Linked DNA regions of Astyanax mexicanus. The protein of the gene in region 2 purifies or fractionates together with the protein of the main gene of each other region. This does not show direct contact. Links are inferred from orthologs where the notes say so. Each region holds a gene or a part of one and is shown on either strand. Other genes may lie near its edges.

Region 1 (8,149 bases), on a different chromosome or scaffold from region 2:
TTTATCTCGCCACTATATAAAACTCAGCTGTATAAAAACTCAGATCACACTTGCAAATTAATTGGCAGTTCTGGATTGGTGATATCTGACTAGGCTCTATTCCAGCTATAGACATTTTTAGTTCTTGTTCCACACCCCACCACCATTAGAGTCAATGGGGGTCTTTCATACAAAACCTGAGCTGAGAAAACATCACATTGAATACTCTCTCTCTTAACACACTTAACACTGAAATGCTAAGACACTTAGAGTCTGTTTCCCTTACAGGGGTTAGGCCTACTTTTGGACTAAACAGTATTTTAAAGTTCCTTTTTTATTCATTTTTAAATGTCTAGTTGTGGGCTCTAGTATGAGTGAATGCCACAAGGGCCATTTTTCGTGAAAAAAAGTGATCCGGTGTTTCTGTATAACATTGGCGGTGTCTGAAAAAAGACAAGATTTCTGCTCTTGCTAATGAATATTCAGAAATGCAAACATATCCCCTCTGATTGGCTAACAGCACTGCAGTGGAGAACACTACCTGGCTACCTGCAGCTCTAAATCTCAAAGAACTTTTTTTTCTAAGATTCAGCCCCATTTGTAAATATATAGCACTATAGAGTGCTTTCAGCTTTGTCTTTCCAGAGCCAGAGTTAATTTAATCAAGCCCACCTTTTGAAATAAGCCTCTCTGCTGTAAAAAAAAAAAAAAAAGAAAATCGAGAATCAAATCGAATTGTGACCCTAAAATCGGAAATAAAATCAAATTGAGGATTTAGAGAATCGTGACACCCTTACTGTTTACATTTCTCTCAATTACTATACTACAAAGATAGTTTGAAGAAGAGTTGTTAAAATACCCAAAATGCTTTTTTTCTGTTTTTATAGTGCTTTGCCTACAATTAGCCACAGTTTAGTGCTAAAAAAATTATTCTCATTCAGAATTATTGGATGTTAACTTTTAAACTGAGGTTTGGTTCAGCCTTTTTTTAAAAACCTTAGCTAAGATTGGATAACACTGGTTTAAAAAACATTGTTTACACTTCTCTCATCCACTAAAATACACAAATATCTTAAATAATCTGTGTTAAATACACAATTTCATGATTTTTTTTGTTTCTACAGTGCTTTGCATAAAAAACACCCTCATATCTAGTAATCTAGCCACAGTTCGCTGCTGGAAAAAGATTGCAGTATTCTGATTCTCACTCAAGATTAATGGCTGTTTCCTGTTAATCTGAGGTTGGGTTAAACACTCACTGTGAATTGAGATGTTTTGTACAATATATTGAGTTTGTTATAATATCATAAACACAAAAAAAAAAAAACCTTTTTGAGAAGCTTAGCTAAGAATGGATAGCACTGTTTATATTTCTTTCATTCCCTAAAATATGCTGATAGCTTTAAGAAAATCTGTTAAAATGCCCAAATTTCTCCGTCTTTCAGTTTCTACAGTTTGCCTAAAGAACACCCTTATATCTAGTAATCTAGCCACAGTTTGCTGCTGGAAAAAGATTGCAGTAATCTGATTAAGATTCTCACTCGAGATTAATGGCTGTTTCCTGTTAATCTGAGGTTGGGTTAAACACTCACTGTGAATTGAGATGTTTTGTCCAATATATTGAGTTTGTTATGATATCAAAAAACACAGAAAATCAACCTTTTTGGGAAGCTTAGCTAACAGTTTGCTGCTGAAAAATGATTTCAGTAAGCTGATTATGATTCTCCTTCAAAGTTATTGAATGTTTACTTTTAAACTGAGGTTTGGTTAAACACACAGAATTGATATTAAGTTTGTTATGATATCATAAACACAGAAAATCAGCCTTTTTGAGAAGCTTAGCTAAGATTGGATAACATTGGACTGGATAACATTGTTTATATTTCTTTCATGCACTAAAAGACATAGATATCTTAAAGAATCTGTATTAAATTCCCCCAATTCATGCATTTTTCTGTTTCTACGGTGTTGTGCTGCATAAGGAATAACGTTACCCTTATATCTAGTAATCTAGCCACAGTTTGCTGCTGAAAAAAGCTTGCAGTAATCTGATTAAGATTCTCACTCAAGATTAATGGCTGTTTACTTTTAAATTGAGGTTTGGTTAAAACACTTAGTGTAAATGTATGATTTTTGTTATGATATCAGTTATCAGAAAGACAGAGATCAGCCTTTTAGAGGAAGCTAAGCTATGTTTACACCTCTGGAGGTTGACAGCAGTGTCAGAAAGCCTGGAATAGTTTGAAAACCGTAGTCAGGTTTTGAGGATAAAGCAGAGCTTGGGCTTTTTCTTCACACCCAGGCTTCTTGCAGAGGGTGTGAAACCAGTTCAGATAACCACAACCACGTGAGAGAGAGACAAATGGGATCTTATAGTAGCCAGGCTAATGTGCTTTTACTTTACTGTAATGACTGCAATTAACGCTAAATACACACTAACCTAACTACTTCATTCCTCTGCTAGTTAGCTAACCTAGCTAGATAGCTAACTACAAAGCTAATTTCAATAGCAACAAGGTTATATCATTTAGTTAAGCAGAAACGTTGTGCTGAAGTTCCCATTTAGATAGTTAAGGCTAGCCAGCTAACTACTTACTTAACCTAGCTAAACGTGACCAAACAAGGAATTAGAATTCCTGAAGTGTGTCAGTTAATCCCCCACTGAACCACAGCCCGTCAGAAACCTCCCTGAGCACATTTCTCAGCCCTGCTGTTTGAGTAAAGCTAGTTAACCTAGCTAACGTTAGCCCTGAAGGACAGACACCAGCAGCCGTGCTGCCCGTCCCAGCAGCGCCCACCGCTGTCCGCTGTCAGCGCCCTCACCTCCCCATATGCCCAGGTTCAGCTGCGAGCTGTCGAGGTTCACCACGTAGTCCCCCAGAAAGCGGTTCAGCACGTCCACCACCAGAGACTCGAACACCATGTTTCTTCCGGTTCAGCAGCGCAGCCACATTTCTCTCCCCTCGGTTCGAGCTCTGCGGGCCCGCGGACTGGGTGTCAGTCGGTGAGGTTTCCTGAAATAAACATTACAGGAGATCTTCACGCTGGGAGGGACCACGTTATTACACACACACACAACACGTCATTAACAGAGTACAACAGCGACCCCCAAAGGCTGACACGGGTACCAGAAAAAAAAATGTGTGTGTGAAAAAAATAAAAGGCCACTTCAGTTTTTGAATCAGCTTCTCTGATTTTGCTATTTATAGGTATATTTGAGTAAAATAAACATCGTTGTTTTATTCCATAAACTACGGACAATTTTCTCCCAAATTCCAAATCAAAAATTGTGTCATTTAGAGCATTTATTTGCAGAAAATGAGAAATGGTTGAAATAACCCCCTAAAAAAATAGAATTAAAACACTTTTTTTTCAAATTATATGGTGATGAAATGTAAAAGGCTGATTCAAAAGGCAGAAGGTTGAAGACATTATGTTGATTCAATGTTAAAATTTCAACATTAGCACAACCATTGAACATTAAACACTGATTCAACGTTTAAATTTCAACGTTAGCACAACCATTGAACAATAATCGTACGTTAAAATTTCAACGATAGCACAACCATTGAACACTACACGTTGTTTCAACGTTAAAATTTAAACGTTAGCACAACCATTGAACGTTGTTTCAACGTTGAAACAACAACAGACATTACTTTAGTCATATTTTAACCACATTTCAATATTGAAGATCGGTTGTGTGCCAGCAGGGAAGTTTTAAACATTTGTTTTAGCTGATCAGAAAAAGATAATAAATTCACTTTTAGCAGTGCTAGAACTTAATACAGGGATACTGAGCACTCCTAAAAAAGGGCTAGTTAAGGCCGTGGGTTTGAGGGCTGTTATTGTACTACTTGGAGTCCAATTGAGAACGCTGCAAGCCATGACTCAATTACGCTCCTGTAGCTTCTGTTTCACAGATGCTGTATTAAATCTGCAAAACAAACATGACCGTTGCCTCCTCAAACATGCTGTATTTACACAGTGAACACATTATGAATGAAAAATAAGAGAACATAATGTGAACTGACAACTCGTACAAACAATGTTACCTTGAATTTGTTTTGCCTGTGTGAGAAACATTAGCGATGACATTAAACCTTAATTTATGATTAAATTATATTGATTAGATTGCACTATATCTGTTAAATGCACTAAATGTACAAAAACTGTAGGTTTAGTAAAAATATTCCAAGTTAAAGTTCGCTGTCTTTGGTAGCTACTGTATTTCTCACACTAAGGCACTTAAAATCTTTAATTTTCCCCAAAAATCCTCAGTTCTCCTTACAATCTGGTACATCTTATGTATGAATTATATTTATGCTTACAATTCAGGTTGTAAGGGGCAGTAAAGCCACTCTGCTGAAGTGCAGCTTTATACAGGAGTTTTAGTTTAGTTCTCCAGCACAGAGACTCGAGACTGGAGCAGTATTAGCATTAGCCGCTATCCACACTAACCACTAGCTCTTTTGACGTTCAGAGGTGTTTATTATCGAACTGTAGACTGCTCCTAACTCCGGCTAGCACAGCTGGAGCAGAAGTAGCATTAGCCACTACCCGCGTTAAGCGCTAGCCCTGTCGCTGTTCAGAGGTGAATTATGCAATTATAACAAAGCTTAAGATTTTTAAGCTTAAATTTGGCTCAATATACACTGTAGCAGTCATCAAGAAATAGATTATTGATTGTGATTATTATTTTATACATTACATCTCAGCAGTGCCACAGAATGAAGTATTTTTTTAGAAAAGCAAAATTGATCAATATATTATATACTGATACACAATATATTTTTGTACAGCAAACAGGTTTTTAACAAAGACACTAGAATTACTGCTACTCTGTGCTTGTTTAAAGGCTTTTAATTGGTGTTACTTCTGAAACATTTGACACTGTTCTGTGAGGAGAAAATAAAAACCTTTTTTAAATATAAAAATGATCAAACATTGATAAACTATGATTTTGCTCATTTGCTCCACAGAAACCAATTAATTTGTTTTGAACTAACTTGGGAGCATCCTCTAGTGACTGACAAGCCAAAAATACATTTTATGCAGGTATTTGACTCTCTGTGCTATTGCAGACAGAGTGGAGAGAAAGTTGTTATTGACTGTTTTTCTGAAAGGATGAAGCTACTGTTTTTTCATTGTTAATTGAGTACATTTTTTTCCAATCGTTTTATCTTGCCAGAATTATACTGACCAATAATTTGACTAGATTTAAAAGCAAAATTATTTTTTATGTTCTGACAAATTAAAACCATAATCTAAATATTGTGATTGAAATCAAATGTTGAGTTTATTCAATTTGCTATAAAGACTGAAATTCACAGTGGAAAAGACATTTTAAATCTGTTCCATGAAAGTACACATTCTATAATGTATAGAACACACAGGACAGACTTAAAGCAGCTGTATTACATGTTGTTTCTAACAGCCTGTCAGAGGCTAGACTGCATTTTACTAGACTCCCTATAAGACTGTAGATGATCACATGATCAGCTTCTAACTGAAGTTTAATTAAGATCACATATCTGAAGAACATTACCAAAATCATAAAACCAAAATCCAGGATAGAGGGGCTGAGTGAAGGTGGTGTGGACTCTGTGGAGGAGGGTCATTGTGTCAGAGATGCTGTAGAAGGACAGAATTCCTGCACTGTGATCCACATACACTCCTATTCTGTAGGATCTGGAGACTACAGGGAGTTTAGTCTCTTTATTATTGTGTCTGAAAGAGAAACTGGAGTACCAGCTGTTCAGACTCCAGGACTGATCATTGAACCCAAATCCAGACTTATAATCTCCTCCTTTCCTGCTGATGTTTTTATAACAGACGGCAATATGAACATAATTCATGTTAAACTCCACCTCCCAGTAACAGCGTCCAGGCAGACTTTCTCTGCAGAGAACTTGGTGAACGCTATCAAATCTCTCTGGATGGTAAGGATATTGTTGTTTCTGGGGCATCAGAGTAGCTTTTCTGTTCCTCTCAGACAGAGCGATTTGTGTGTGGGCTGTGTTTGGATCCAGAGTGAGCTGACAGGTGTCTGATGGAGGAGAGAAAAGGAAAATTAATAATGTTTCTTAGAAACTTTTGTTAATTCTAACTTTAATTTACATATCATAATTCAATCACTCACACACCAATTAAAGTGTGTATAAATGTAAATTCAGATGTTCTACATTCTGTAAATCTGTTCATGTGAATGTGAGGTCAGTGTGAGGAGTGTGTGGTCGACTCTCTCTAAATCTAAAACTCAGTGTCCAGCAGAGGACGCTCTTTCACTAAAGTGCTGATAAAATGAATGATCTGAGTCTGACTGTAGTCTACAGCTGCCACTACTGCAACTATTAGCACCAAATGAAATGTCTGATAATAAAACCATGATATCTCTGTTGAAGAAGCGTCTCACAGATATTTAATTCATTCTGAAAATGAAGATAAATCACAGTGTGAGGAGGAGAACTGCAGTATTGTGTGATTATGGTTTGAGCAGCATGTAGATGGTCTACACTGACTCTGAAGAGCTTCTGTAGAAACTGGAGAAGGGAATCAAGAGTCCAGTTTTGAGTGTAGATGTGTGTGTATGGTTGAGTAAGTGTGTGATTCTCACATTTCAGGAAGTCCTCTCTGGTCTTTGGTTCAGGAGACTGAAGGAGCTGTTCCGATTTCTGAAGAGGAGCAGCCGTCATGGACGAAGAAATGAACCCTGAAAATGACAGAACACCTTAGATAGCAGCAATAAATCAAAAATGATGCTTGGATGTAGAATCAGTGTGAAACAGGTGAATAAGCAAAATTTTAAAAGCTCTGATGAGAAAACAAGTGTTTGATCTGAATATTTAGTTTGGAATAATGGAAATGAAGATGCAGTAAAACTACAGTTTTCCCCTCTAAAGTTTCTGCCAGTCTTCTGATCTTTCAAAATCTACCAACGCATGTTATCACATTAAATTCTCTTTCTTAGACTTTCTTAAAGATCCATCTTCTCACATAATTCTTTATACCTCCAGAAAACCTGACCAGTTTCGATTCCATTCGTTCCATCACTCCAGTCGCAGCTTTCTTCAGTTCCTCCATGGAGAATTGGTGACTGACTGGGATTTGGGGTAAGTCTGCAGATTGAGGAGGAGCTGAGAGAGACTGGAAACTCTGCAGAGAGATGAAGAAACACATACAGATGAATAGACTTTGTGAGGGACACTTGTAGCTCTGTAGTGTTACTGTAGATGATCAGAGAGTCAGAGATGTTACCTGGAGGAAATCGATGGGATCCTCTGAGTGTAGAAGCTTCTCCAGCTCAGCGTCTCTCCTCCTCAGATCAGCAATCTCCTGCTCCAGTTTCTTCAGGAGATCTTCAGCCAGACTCAGTTCAGTCTTCTCCTGAGCTCTGATCAGCTCTTTCACCTCAGAGCGTCTTCTCTCCATGAACTGAATCAGTTCAGTAAAGATCTTCTCACTGTCCTCCACTGCTGCCTGTGCAGAGCGCTGTTAGGAGACACACAGAGAGGAGGGGCTTCATCTGAAGCAGCTCTTTCACCTGCTACTTTCCCACAGTGGAGCTCAGTGGAGGTGGAAAGTGAGCCAACACTGGACTCTGACTGAGAGCTGAAATGTCTCCTCCTGTGCTCAGTATACTCACCCTGAGAGTCTCCATAGTCTGTCTCAGCTCCTGCAGTTTCTTCTCCTTCTGCTGGATTCTCTGCTGGGATTCCCTCTGAGTTTGCACCAGCTGTTTCTGTAGACCAAATCCAACAACATTCACGAGTCACCACACAAACAGTCACATAATACACACATAGTGAGTCAGTTGTGAATATCCGTGTCTTTTACTGTGTTTATTTCAGCTAACTAAATTTCGTTCACTGAGCTGCTTCACATTTGGAATAAGCGTTATGTTATGGCAGGACTGACAGTAAAGTTCTTACCTGTTTCTGAGCTCTTTCTGCTGCAGCTGAGACTGTCTTATGACCCCTGTGTTCGTCCATCACACACAGAAGACATATACACTGCTGATCAGTGTGACAGAAAACCTCCAGTAGTTTATCATGAAGAGAGCAGATCTTCTCCTGCAGGTTCATAGAGGCTTCAACCAGCTTGTGCTTCTTATAGGCAGGAATTTCATAATGAGGCTGAATATGAGCTTCACAGAAGGAGAGCAGACACA
Region 2 (7,217 bases):
CTTTATTATTAACTTAACTGTGATTAGAAGTTAAGAATTGGATGGTTTAAGCTGATCTTTGATGGTCATTTAGGGGGAAACATACCCTATACTGGCGAGCTAGCTGCTTAACCAGCTCCTTACGAGCGGATCGAGTATGTTACACTTGATTTTGGCCATGCTCGTTGACCAGATCATGTGTGTAAACTATCTAAACTATCTAAGCTAAACTATCAAACTTGAGCTAAACTCAAACAAAAACATACTCTATGTTGGTTTTCAGCATGGATTAAACTCCAAAATGTAAAAGTATGGATGGTTAATAACATATCAGGATAGAAACTATAATATAATACACCCTTAAACCCAATATTTGTATTGTGGCATTATGTACAGTATGTGCCTTGGATGGTCTTGCGCTCCCCTCTTTATTAATATGAATGTTAAGCCTACACGTGGCTGTCTTGAAGCCACACTTTACAGTGACTTGCAAAAGTATTCAAACCCCTTGAACTTTTCCTTTTTGAACATTTTGCCCCCTTACAACCACAAACTTAAATGGATTTTATTGAGATTTTATTTGAAACGAAAATGATACACGGTTTTCATGATTTTTATCAAATTAAAAATCTGAAAAGTGACGTGCAAAAGTATTCAGCCCCCATATATCACTTAGTCTTCTTAATGGAGCCACTATTCGCTGCAGTTACAGCTATAAGTGCTTTGAGGTTTGTCTCTTCCAGCTTTGCATTTCTTCTTTATAAAACAGCTTAAGCTCAGCCAAGAATTTTAAAAAACATGTATCATTTTCGTTACACTTCACACTTATGGAATACTTTTTGTCTATCACTTAAAATCTCAATTAAAAAAAATACATTTGAGTTTGTGATTGTAAGATGACAAAATGTGGAAAAGTTCAAGGGGTATGAATACTTTTGCAAGCCACTGTATTCGTGCATCTAGATGGAGCTGTTGGCTCTGTGCACTGAATGTGTGAGAACTATTGGGCATTGTTCTTGTGGCAGAGCAGAGCTGTTTGGCCATTATCCCCTACAGTGATTAGTCAGGACCCGAGACTGAAGACCCAAATCAAATTACGTTATATTTAGTGAAATATATAAATACTACACCTTTCAGAAACTCGTAAAGTGGAATTTGAAGGATTGGAAGATTTAGGATTGTTCATTGTAATGAGAAACTTAACCTAATGAATTTATCTATTTGTATTTTGGTATTTGCAGATTTTATCTCCAAAGTAATCATTTATTCAGGGAAAGTGCTTTACTAAATGAAGATTGTATGGTACTTTTTGTGGTATGTGGTTATTATCCATTTATCCATTTAGCTTGGTTAGAATAAGAACACCATTCATTGTGATGTACAGTATATAAATATAACCACGGTTGTATAGGAGTAGCTTTATACGTATTTTTTTCTTTTTTATATTAATCTCACTCGATGTGTAACTGTCCAGATGTACTACCAGAAGCCTTGCACACAGCTCAGAATCACTTTGTTTTTGTTTTTTTTTACATTTTATATGTATTTTTTTCATTTTTCTTATCTCGTGCCATGTAAAAGCTTCTTAAAGTGTCTTTATAAAAGCAAAGTAAAAAAAGTTTCCATTTTATGTTAGGATGTGTTTATATGTGTATGTTACATTTAATTTGTTGTGGTATTAGCCTACGTTACAGAGCTTTACTCCTCAGCTGGAGCACACGTTCACATATTCACACATTCAGCGGAAGTTCTGTGGGTTTCAGTGGAATAGCATGTTACATTTAGAGTGGGAAGTTTGATTCTTCACTTCCCTTCAGCAGTCTAGAATGAATTAATTTCATGTTACTGAAAATGCCAACAGTCTTGGGCTGGTCCTGAGAATGTGTTGTGAAGTTCTGATGTATTTGGGTTTTTTTTTTGTGTATTGTTACCATGGGGGCATGTTAAATGAATGAATTTGGTCATCTTCAATGGTGTTCACACACAATGTAGTTTACATATATTTACCTTGTATTGCAATATTTACACAACGCACTAATTTAACCCATTGCATTTTAATCAGTTACTGTATAGTTAAAGAGGTTTATTTTTTTTCTTTCTTCGCTTGATTGCAAACAACATTGCTTGTAATAAAGGGATGTTCTGAGCTGTTTAATAGTAATAAAATGGCACAGAAACAGAAACTGCTCCGTGTGAGTTTTGTTTGTGCTATAAAGGAGAGCACACCTTAAAAGTTTACACACTGAGCTCAGTATAAAAAGTGTTCTAACTGGTGTGAAAAGGTGTTTGTACCCCTTTTTTTAATTTAATTTATAAATTTTTGCACGTTTTGGGTCATCAAACTAATCTAAATATTAGTCAAAAACCCTATCCGGACGGGATTCGTTTCTTAGAGGGTCCTGGGGTAATTTTCTCCCTTATGGGGGTACACTGTGATTTTAATCCCGTCCAGAACGACCATGTATGTGTTTTTCTCAGGTGTCCTCTGAAAAAAATTACCTGGTCCTCCAGTAATTTTAGTCCTGTCCAGACTCATATCTCTGAGTTTCGTCTCCTTGCGTTTAATAAAATAGCTACTAATAAAATAGCTAATAACAGGAGGCCACAAAAACATATCTTCCCACAAGTCAGTGCAATATTTCTTAGCTTCAATGGGACATGGCAAAAGTCATGGGATATGATACTAGTTTCTGTGTAATGACACGTGGCATGTTAGTGTATTAATCACTTCATTACACAAACAAGGTTTTGATACAGCTATTAGGTGTAAAATTACAGCTCAATTTATTCATGCACAATTTGTATTTGTATATTTGGACGGTCATTAATCTAACCTCTCATCAAGGGCCACTTTCTGACCACTGGACACTATTGGCTGGGTATTTCTGGTTTGCCAACTATTCTTAACCCAGCAGTGACACTGAGGTGCTTAGCACTCTAGCAATGCTGGTGACACTAATACACTCAAACACAGCCTACAATATACTGCTATCCTGATGTTAATACACTGCATGAACAAAAGTGTTGGCCCACCTGATCATTCATTGTTTCTTTCAATAGAATCGCTATGATGATTTGATTGCATTCAGCAGAAAGAACATTAGTGAGATCAGGATATTGGATGATCACCACCTCATCTGTAACTTCCAGCCAAGTTCCATTGATGCAACTCCATCAATCCAGAGAACACAGATCCACTGCTCCACAGCTTAATGTAGAGGAGCTTTATATCCCTCTACGCCAGGCATGGCATTAGGCATGGTGCCAATACATGTATGTTTATCTGCTGCTGAGAATCCCCTTCAAATAAGCAATACTTCTTTATAGAGACTGGACAATCTGTTTTAGAAATGGTTGCAAATGGTGCAAAATTAATGCAACACTGGATTGAATTAAATCTTGTGACATCGCAGAAGCTACCACAGCGTATGCATGTCACAATCAAACCTAAAGGCGGTCCAACAACAATGACAAAAAAGGTTACACACACCTATATTTCGTTGGACAGCCTTTAGCTTTGATTGCGGCATGCATTCGCTTTTGCGTCGTATCGATAATCTCTCTTCTGCAATGTCACAAGATTATTTTCAATACAGTGTTGCATTAATTTATCACCAAGATCTTGCAGCAGCATTGATGATGCAGTTTGGCATTGTCATCTTGGAATATTGCCGTGTGTATCATCAGGGAAGAAAAAATCTTCCATTGATGGAATAACCTGGTCTGGAATATTCAGCATATATTCAGGTAGCAGTCAGCTGACATCATTCTTTCAGCACAAACTGTTGCTGAACCCAGACCTGCAGACCAACTGCAGCAGCATCAACCATCAACCCCACATCATTTACTTACATAAATCCAGGTGGTGACTTATTTACTTATAATTTTTTTGACCAGGCAGTGTAGTTGACTTGACTTGACTTTTTGTATTGATCCTAATGTAATGTAATGCAATGTGATGTATTGCCTCGTGCACACTCTTAAGTGGCAAAAACATTCTGATAACCTGATGCCTGGGCCCTGTAACAGTGTCAGATTAATGACGGACACCCTTGTACACAGGGGTTTAAATGTCTGAGGCTAAGATAAGATATCCCATATAGGTTACCACCACCATTCCCCACTCTGGCATCACATCAGCCGCTGAGTGGCTGCTGGTGCAGGCGGCGTGACGTCACTCCCAGCCAGCCTCGCTCTCTCCCTCTCTCTCTCTCCCTCAGCCCGCTTTCCTGCTGCATCACAACATAGGGTAGCTAACCTAGCAGCAGCGCCCTGAACTCACTGTTTTTCAGCAGGACAGCTAGTTTTATTCAACCGGACGTGGCTTAAAAATATCGTCGGTTTCTGTAGTTATAAACCCGGCTAGCGTTAGCGAGTTATTAGCGCTGTGTGCGCAGGCAGCGAGTGAATAGTAGAGAGTCTGCGAGGGCTGCTGGTTCGTGTGTGTGTGTCTTTCAGTAGCGCCGTCCGAATCGCTGGGATATGGCCAGGCCGGAGCAGGTCCTGCTTCTGGAACCTCAACACGAGCTCAAATTCCGGGGTAAGACGCCCGCCCGGGCTGGGTGGGGGGCTGTGCAGGCGCGGGGCAGCACGCAGGGCTTCGTGTGTTTTGAAGGGGGCGAGGTAGGGTGGGTATTTTTGGGTGGGAGGGGGGTACTGCGAGATGGCGTTCATGATAGGCCTCGGTCCTGTAACGGTACAAGCTAGCTAGATAGCTAGCCGGCTAGGTTAGCTTAGTGGATGGCGAGCTGTGTTGTTTAGCTAACTTAGCTAATAGCTAACGTTAGGTTAGCTTGCTTGCTAGGTTGACATCCAGCGCCCCAACGCCCTTCACTTCACTTCAGTTCAGTAACGTTACAGTAACAGGAGAATGAGGAATAGACAGCTTGCTGTGGAGAGCTTAACCTGCAGCAGCTAACGTTATCTCAGCTAACCTAATGCTAATAAATTGTTAAGTTAGTTAGCTAACGTTAGCTTGTATAGGTTAGCTATAGCTGTAGTTGTGTGTGTAACAGTTGAGTTATATATTTATTTATAATGGAGCAGGTTTGACTAGACAGCTGGTGTTACTATCTTAGATAGTTTTAACTAACCCTGGCAAACTAGGCCTCTCCATCCACTCAAACGTATGAACTCAGTCAGTTTAGTCTTTCAGTAATAAAACTGAATAAAATAATCCATACCTGCCTATGTTAGCTAGCTAGCTAGCTAGGCTTTCAGGGCCTGTGCCTGGTTGCATTAGCTAATTTAGTTGTTTCCATTAAGAATGCCCTTAACAATTCCTTAAAGGTAAGTGTGTTGCAAAAAAAATGCCTTAAGCTAAGCGTTATCTAAGTATTTTCTTTAGGGAAACCCTTAAATGTTCCCTTAAATATTGATGCTTAATAATTCATGTAATCTTACATAAACTCTCTTAATGCTCTATTCTCTGAAAAGTTGTTTAATGGACCCCAAACCTCACCTAGGCTTGTCACAATAAGATTTTATTGATTAATATCAAACATCAGTAAGGAGAATGAGGGATAGACCGGCTAGTTATGTTAACCTAGCTAGCTAATCTAGATTGTTGGATATGTAACCAACTGGTTTATATATGTTAGCTAGCTATAGTTGTGTGTATTTACGAGGCTGAAGTTGGTTTGATATTCGCAGCTCCAGATTCGTTTGGCTCGATATTCGCAGCCTCGTATTCCCCGGCTGAAGTTGGTTTGATATTCGCAGCTGCAGCTTCACTGAACCACCGTGAACTAAAGGGAGCGTTCACAAACACCCGCTGTTTATATTAAACACCTCACAGATCAACACTGAAGGAGATAGAATGAAGAAAAGCAGTACAGCTGTTTATTAACAATGTAAATATACAATATCTTATTAAATGTAATTTTATATACACGACCTTCCATCACTTATTTTCTCCAGTTTTACTTACAACATGAATTTGCTGTTCTAGTGTAATTCATTCATTTCCTGAGTCAAAAATATCTGAAATAGAGATTTAGCCTCCTACTTTCAAGAAAACCTGGCATTATCCTGTCCGGAGCCAATTGTATATTGTAAAATATTTAATTACTGAATTTATAATTATATATTATAATAAATAATAAAAATATATATTTAATGAAATTATATTTTAAAAGCCATTGCTCTCAAAAAATATAAGGCAGATGTTCAAGTGTGATTTTGAAGAACTTTTTCATGTTGGGCCAGAACAAATACACATGATCTGAAGAGTTCTATTCTTCTAATTTAAGGAAAACCTGGAATTAGCCTGGCCCGAGCTGATTTTATACTTTAAAATGAACTGGCAACATGGAATACCGATCCATAATGCACAAAAAAATTGAATATAAAGCTGATGTTCCAGTGTGATTTTGAAAGACTTTTTTAATCTTGGGCCAGACCAAATACACATCATCTGAAGAGTACTAGTCTTCTACTTTAAGGAAAACCTGGAATTAGCCTGGCCCGAGCTGATTTTATACTTTAAAATGAACTGGCAACATGGAATACCGATCCATAATGCACAAAAAAATTGAATATAAAGCTGATGTTCTAGTGTGATTTTGAAGGACTTTTTAATCTTGGGCCAGACCAAATACACATGATCTAAAGAGTACTAGTCTTCTACTTTAAGGAAAACCTGGAATTAGCCTGGCCCGAGCAGATTTTATACTTTAAAATGAACTGGCAACATGGTATAACGAGCCATTTTGCACAAAAAAGCCACTGTTCCAGTACAATTTTGAAGAACTTTTTCATCTTGGGCCAGAACAAATACACATCATCTGAAGAGTACTGGTCTTCTACTTTAAGGAAAACCTGGAATTAGCCTGGCCCGAGCTGATTTTATACTTTAAAATGAACTGGAAACATGGAATACCGATCCATAAAGCACAATTTTTTTTATGTAAAGCTGATGTTCCAGTGTGATTTTGAAGGACTTTTTCATCTTGGGCCAGAACAAATACACAAGATCTGAAGAGTACTAGTCTTCTACTTTAAGGAAAACCTGGAATTAGCCTGGCCCGAGCTGATTTTATACTTTAAAATGAACTGGCAACATGGAATACCGATCCATAATGCACAAAAAAAACTTAATATAAAGCTGATGTTCCAGTGTGATTTTGAAAGAATTTTTAATCTTGGGCCAGAACAAATACACATCATCTGAAGAGTACTAGTCTTCTACTTTAAGGAAAACCTGGAATTAGCCTGGCCCGAGCTGATTTTATACTTTA

Evidence for each region. Proteins that work in one complex are often made in the same cells at the same time.
Region 1: the proteins of vapb (region 2) and vps13a purify together in Homo sapiens (affinity purification with mass spectrometry; 3 studies listed by BioGRID and IntAct, counting the BioPlex papers as one, with this or other methods). This does not show direct contact. The link is inferred for Astyanax mexicanus from reciprocal best matches to the Homo sapiens genes VAPB and VPS13A.

What each region holds. Positions count from the first base shown.
Region 1 is NC_064419.1:22,812,930-22,821,078, reverse strand, and holds the start of vps13a (vacuolar protein sorting-associated protein 13A), read right to left. Parts: upstream 3,038-8,149; 5' UTR 2,903-3,037; coding exon 2,803-2,902; intron 1-2,802. Other genes in the region: E3 ubiquitin/ISG15 ligase TRIM25, read right to left, coding at 5,496-6,028, 6,596-6,691, 6,990-7,134, 7,237-7,470, 7,625-7,720, 7,911-8,149. UniProt on the Homo sapiens protein: Mediates the transfer of lipids between membranes at organelle contact sites. Binds phospholipids. Required for the formation or stabilization of ER-mitochondria contact sites which enable transfer of lipids between the ER and mitochondria.
Region 2 is NC_064412.1:55,095,102-55,102,318, reverse strand, and holds the start of vapb (vesicle-associated membrane protein-associated protein B/C), read left to right. Parts: upstream 1-4,180; 5' UTR 4,181-4,461; coding exon 4,462-4,519; intron 4,520-7,217. UniProt on the Homo sapiens protein: Endoplasmic reticulum (ER)-anchored protein that mediates the formation of contact sites between the ER and endosomes via interaction with FFAT motif-containing proteins such as STARD3 or WDR44.